Bombyx mori: one gene and its partner. The protein of the gene in region 2 purifies or fractionates together with the protein of the main gene of each other region. This does not show direct contact. Links are inferred from orthologs where the notes say so. Each region holds a gene or a part of one and is shown on either strand. Other genes may lie near its edges.

Region 1 (3,090 bases), on a different chromosome or scaffold from region 2:
ATCTTACTATTTGTTTTATTGTGACCTATTTCTGTACCCATCCTGTAGTTTTAAATGAATATAAATTTCGATGATTTACCACGAAAGAAAATATTCATTCACAAGATTATAGTATCAAAATTTAAAATGTAGGGGGGAGGCATTTGGATAAGAGGACAGCTCAAGAATTTAAAAATAACCAAGAAATGTATCACACATACAAAATGTTTATTTACTCAAGAAGTTCGTGTAACAACAAATATTAACCTTGTTCTTTTTGACCTTATCTTTAAAATATAACTATTTACAGTTCCCAGTCTGCATTTGTCAACACAAACTCATGATATAAAATGCAAGGGTTATTTCTTCACAAAATACTATACTAACTTGTGACGGAGTAGATTCAAACTCATCCATAGCTTGTCGTCAGTCTGAAGGTTGAAATCTTATTATCACCGATTACTCAACCAGTAAAATGAAAAGCTGGTGTGATTACAATATAATAAAAGCTATTGTTATAAATCCACAATAATAAGTATGTAGCAGTAGTATGTGTATCAAAAAATAAAACTTAAACAAGACGAATCCTCCCCCTTTACTCCTTTCCACAGAAACATGTCAATCCCCAGGCAGCGTTGCAAGTTATAATCAACTCACAAAATTTAGAGCCAATAACTACGTAGACTGATTTCAATGTAATACAATACACACTCTTGTAAATATATTGTATATTTACTTCAAAAATAACAGTACATACATTATAATTTGTAACTCTAGCTTCGAAAGGGAGAAGAATCTAGACTCACTGCGAGTCTAGCTGAGAGAGGGGAAATCCTTGCTGTCGTCGACCTTCGGCGGCGTCACGTGGTGACGCTGTACCGGGCGCTCCTCCACGACCGGCGGCTCCTCGCGCGGCACTCCTCGTCCGCGACCCCGGCCCCGTCCGCGGCCTCGCCCGCCCACACCGCCGCGCCTCGCACCGTCACTAAATGTGAACTCAATGCCCAACAAACGCTTCTGGCGACCCACGCGCTGTGGATAGTCGGCCAGATCGTATTCCTCGTCAGTTTCCTCATCATCACCACGGTCACCTTCCTTCTTGCGTTCCAACAGAACCAGGTTTTTCCACTGGCTCAAGTCTTCACCCTCACCTGCCTTCCTCAAATTGTACTGCGGAGCGGTGCGTTGCGCGTTGCGTAAAGCCTTGTATTCATCGAGTGTCAACTCACGCGGTTCTTCCTCAGCGGGCACTGCACGTTCAGTTTCAGGCACTTGTCCATCGCCAGCGCCGGCTTCAGGAGCCTTCTCTTCAGTAGTTTCACCCTCAGAACCGGTTTTGTTCAACTCGTCGAGATCGTCCTTGATCGTGCCCCAGTTGTGGGGACCTGCGCCCTCCCTCTTGTCGACTGATTTCACACCGGTTTTGTCAGAGCCGGATCTTCGGTCGAACTCACGTTTGCCTCTATTGTCAAAAGAACGCGGCCCGCGCGGTCCCTCACGAGGCTCACGCGGTGGTCTTGGTGGACCGCGACGCTCTGCACCGTCCTGGTTGTTGTCGTTGAAATTGCGGCGCTCGTTGAAGTTAGGCCGACGATCGCCGAACTCGCGTCTCGGTGGCCGCGGAGCTCCTTCCTTGTTTTCTGCGGTACCGTTCTGCGGCCGATCTTCACGACGACGCGGAGGCGGACGCTCAACATTACGATCGACCGGGCGTGCAGGTCCCTTACCCTTCTGTTGTTCTCCACTTTTGATGTCTTGAGACTTCACATTTTGAGTTTCCTTAATGCCCTTCCGGGTGGGAACGGTTACGCCTTTAGCGGGCTTGGGTTCAGGCTTGCCTTTGTTCTCTTTTTCGGCTTCTTTGGTCTTCTTTTTGAGCTCCTTCGCCTGCTCTCGCGCTTTTAACGCATCAAGAGGATCGGTCTCATCGTCCAAGAAAAGAGCGTATCTGTTCACTACTCCCACACCGTAGGAATTCTCCATTGTGATCCTCTTGATGATTTAATCACACAATATTTAGATGTTATTGGATTACTTTCCGCGCACTAGTAAGGCGACATTTTGTCTTATTTTATTGATTTCATTTAATATGGCGGACCGATTCGAACAACTACTACGCCATATGACGAAAAGGAATAGAGTAAAGAAACAAAATGGTGGAAAAACTTTTTAATTGTCTATGGTCTATACTGGCACAAATGACATTCTACTATAGTCGAACGATCAAGGATTTGTTTCAAATAATATACCTATTTTTCATTTCTATTTTATACTACCTAATAATCATTGTTCCAGTTTAAACTGTTATTAATTGATACCCATGCAGCCATGCACGTTCTGAATTAAAGATTCAGATTCTCGGCTTGTTCCTCGATTAGTTTTTGTGAGAACAAAAAATTTAAAAATAAATAATGGGCAAAAACTTTTCAATACACCTTTGTTTGTATGTCTCATTTGTACAATTGTCTCATCCATATTAACAAGATAACTGGAGGCATAATCAATCTAATAGGCATATGGGAATCCATATAGAGTCCCTTCTTTATTTCGCCGTAAAGTCGTGTTTTATGTAATTAACACCACAGTTGAAACAATAGAAATTTTATTGTTGTAGCGGCATAAACAATTCTAAGTAATTATATTACATTAGTTATTAAACACATTATAAATTATATTTTCGTTTTAAATTGGTGGTAAAAAAGGTCCCGTCTCACAGACTATATTCTTTTTCCCATCTCTCGTGCGTTCCGGCTTACGCATCATAAAAATGTGCGTTCTTAAACGCCACAGGCATTTGCAAACAATGTATAAATCATCACAAATTGTTTTCCCGATAAATTGATAATGTTTGAAGCTATTATTAATAATCATGTACTTGCCTTGGTAGCCTTGAAAGCGTAACTTTGCTAATTTCATTTATAGGTAGTAGGGATGTAAACCGGTTCGAAGAAAACCGGAGAAAAACCGGTTTTTATACATACCGATAAATACCGGTTTTTATTTAAGAATACCGGTTTTTTACGCTTTACATTTACAGTTCATACCAGTGCTACCAGATCAAATATACAAGCTACAAATATAAAAAAAAACCGTCTTTCAGAATCAAATTAC
Region 2 (3,837 bases):
GAGGCGAGTTAATGGCGACCCGAATATAACCACGCCACAATTACCTTGTACGCGTCCAATACGCTTGCCAAGAATACTAGGGCGGACCCTCTTTCACCCATTTGTCGGAGAAACAGCTACAAAAATTTCGAGATAGTAATTTATATAACCTTAACATATCGTTTAGATGAGGGCCGTCCAAATTACATACCTTTGCGGGCTAATTAAATTTACTAAAAAAGCTGGAAGGGGCCGCAGAAAAAAATATTTTCAAAAACAAAATACTTTCCAGACTAAAATATTAAAAAAAAAATTATGTAAAAGATAACTTCACTTTTAAATGATGTCATGGGAATGGTATGTTACAAGAATACAGATAAATAATACCAAATAATGATTATATGATTTGACAAAGAATTCTATTGTCCATACTATTTATATTCAAAACTATTTTCTGATTAAAACATGCGTCGCGGGCCGCATGATAACAAGTCGTTTTCTGGACAGTTCTGGTTTAGATAATACACATTATTACTTAACGGCTTGTCATACTACGATTTTTAGTTGCTGTAGGGTAGATTGAAGACTGCAGATAAGGTGTTGTTAACCCAAAGTAATGAAAATTTTCCAAATAAGATATGACCTAAAGGTCTCTGTCACCAGGTCATAAAAAAAAACTGTTGTTAACAAACAAATATATTCAGCTTTTCTTTAGTCCATTTTTGATGTTACCACTCGAATCCAGCGAGTCGAACCGTAATTGGATCTTGTCGGGTAAAGGAAAGTCTTAATAATAGTGCGTTTAATGGGGATAGCCGCAAAAGTTTAAAAAAATGTAATTTAAGATTCGAACCGACACTAAAATTACCGTTAGTCGTTGTTAATACAAACAATTGTGAATAAAACTTACCTGGGTAGATGCATGTTTATGTAAAATTTTCAATGATTTGATGATAAGTTTTTTTTTAAAACAAACAAACACGACATATGCGTATACGGCATATATAAATGATTCTGAATAAAAATATAACGACTCTCGATAGTTTTTGAGTGTATCAGTACTCAGTTTTTGTTTTAAAGATGCAAACAGTGTTTAGTAATATTTTAAGTGAAGTTCCAATTGCATGCTTTGCTTGGTAAAGTTAATATAAAACCTTTTTTTCCTTCTAATTATACGCACACACAGTCACAACACACGTGTAGGCTTAGTATAATTAGTGAAACATCAGACGTGTTCATAATAAGCGGTTTTACTTTGATCAAGTTGGATACCGGTGAGGGAGAAGGCCTGGGAGTCTTGTGTCTATAGACGGGACTGTGGTCGTCGTCGCCGCTCTTCAGCAGGCCGGACACCAGCGCCGCCTCGCGGTGGAAGTCGGGGTGCTTCGTGTTTATGTACGCAAGCTCGATAGCCACCAGGTTCTCCACCTACAACAATAATAATAATAATCATAAAATCATTTATTGCCTTTCACATTCTAAACAAAATAAAATACTAATAAAAGAGAAGAAAAAAAAGAGAAAAAGGCAAAAGGAGATGGCTCAGCTAATGCTGTTCAAGGTCGATAAATCGAACAGCGCTGATTTTCAGTCACCCCCGTTTCCCTTTGGTTCTTTGCGGGAATGAAGGCTAGGTACGTGTGTACAGACTTAAAACATGGTATAAACTAGTATAAAAAAACGAAACAAAAATCAAATTAAATGGTGAACCCGAATACAAAACATACATAAGCACACACAGTAATAACAACCTGTGGGCAGCCTACAACGAAACAACAAAGAAAATAAAATAAAATAAAAGAAAGCGCGATAATACTATGACTATTACTGGCAAGCAGCACAACATTTACACTTGTACATTATTAAAAATAATTTTGATAAATGAAAATTTTCGCAAGCAAGGATTAAACTAGTTACTATAAATACTATAAATTAAATTAGTAAAGTTAGTTAAACAAGATACTATGCGTCAGCTTTTACAACTGGAAACAGATAAAGCTATACGGGTTGTAAAGCGATGGTCTCTGACTGTATGTTCTACGAACCATCAGATAAAATTACAGCTTGTCGCATACTATCATTTTTTGGACATATCTCCCGGCGAGGAAATGACTCCATAGAGCGCTTTGTCGTTCAGGGCAAAGTAAGAGGCACCAGACCGCGTGGAAGGTTGCCCATGCGATCGATCGACAAAGTAAAGTCGGCGGTTGGCGGTTGTTTACATGAGCGTATCAAGCTCACCACAAACCGAGATAAGTGGCGATTGCCCGTGAGGCGCATAACATCTACCCACAGCATTGATACTGAATGACGACAGAATTATTGGTGGTAGGACTTCTTGTAGGTACCACCACTCTGCCTATTTCTGCCGTGAAGCAGTAATGCGTTTCGGTTTGAAGGGTGGGGCAGCCGTTGTAACTATACTTGAGACTTTAGAACTTATATCTGAAGGTGGCTGGCGCATTTACGTTGTAGATGTCTATGGGCTTCAGTAACCACTTAACACCAGGTGGGCTGTGAGCTCGTCCACCCACCAAAGCAATAAAAAATAAATAAATAAAAAGGATATATAGCAGGATATAGGTCGTATCAGGATTGTCTATCATTTTCGTTGGCGCTTTCGATACAATGGTGTATTATGAATGCTGTATAACAAATCGACTTACCATAGAATTGGTCGGAGGCAATCTAGTCCTCAGCAGCTGCGTGACGACGTCGACGATGCGCTGGTGCAGGCGTGGGAAACGTAGCATTTCCTGCTGGACTTCTGTGCCACAGTGCTGAACGATCCTCTGCATTTCTTCGTGTACCTGTGTGTTGAAATAAACGAATATAATGCTTGTTTACAATTGGGTGAAAAGGCATTAGTAAAAAAATATACTATGGCTAATAAATACCATTAATGAAATTTAAGCATAATAGTCATGTAAGTAAATACAGGGTGTGGTAAAAATATACTATGGCTATGAAATTTATTCATAATAATCATGTAAATACAGGGTGTAGTCCTATAACATATACGAAGGGCAGTTCTGGAAATGTTCACGGTAGGTATAAAATTTCAAATGCTCTATCTACTGCTTAATATATAGCACTAAAAGTAAACCTATATAGTAGTGTACAGACAGCAGAATAATTAAATAACGTTCTAGTGGTCAACAACAGCAACATAAAATAATGAGTGTATGATCATGGTATAGCTGTGTAATGACTACTATGAGTCGTTCATTTAAGAATGAAATTTAATTAAATTTTCAAATAAGTAAGCGATATATTACTAATGTATATTAATTTGCCTAATAATAATTATTATTTAATATGTTTGAAATATATTTTTAATTTTAATATTTTGTAAATATTTTTAAGATTATTAACAATAAGCATACCAGTTCAACACAACGTAACGAAGGGTCTTCCAGTCTTCTAATCTGTCGCTTGACCAGAAGCTCAAAAGATACCTCAGGGACGAATAAAGCCGGTCTAGGGCCTGTAGCGTTGCGGATCGCGGTCAAAATGTCCATGCGGGTCAAACCTGGCGACGAATACAATACATAAACTAGAGTGTACACATCGAAAACATTATTTATTCTTATTAAATAGACAGATTCATGGTCTATGGACTCATGTGGTTACTGGACATCATTGACATAACTAAGTGAACGTTCATCCTGAAATTTTATGTGGTAGTTATAATAGTATTGAAACACAGCTATCATAAACAGGAATGGTAGCAGAAATAACTATGCTAGAATTGACTCTGCATACCGGTTTTTAATATCCCTTAACATAGTTAAAGTTAGTGATTGCTACTATGAGCTATTTAAGGAAATAGAGTAGGAAATAAAATCAATTTCAAGT

What was found.
Region 1: the proteins of dynamin-1-like protein (region 2) and VIG purify together in Homo sapiens (affinity purification with mass spectrometry; 3 studies listed by BioGRID and IntAct, with this or other methods). This does not show direct contact. The link is inferred for Bombyx mori from reciprocal best matches to the Homo sapiens genes DNM1L and SERBP1.

What each region holds. Positions count from the first base shown.
Region 1 is NC_085116.1:3,010,975-3,014,064, reverse strand, and holds VIG (plasminogen activator inhibitor 1 RNA-binding protein-like), read right to left. Parts: upstream 1,963-3,090; coding exon 793-1,962; 3' UTR 693-792; downstream 1-692. UniProt on the Homo sapiens protein: Ribosome-binding protein that promotes ribosome hibernation, a process during which ribosomes are stabilized in an inactive state and preserved from proteasomal degradation.
Region 2 is NC_085119.1:10,597,227-10,601,063, forward strand, and holds part of dynamin-1-like protein, read right to left. Parts: intron 3,512-3,837; coding exon 3,366-3,511; intron 2,790-3,365; coding exon 2,646-2,789; intron 1,408-2,645; coding exon 1,234-1,407; intron 117-1,233; coding exon 45-116; intron 1-44. UniProt on the Homo sapiens protein: Functions in mitochondrial and peroxisomal division.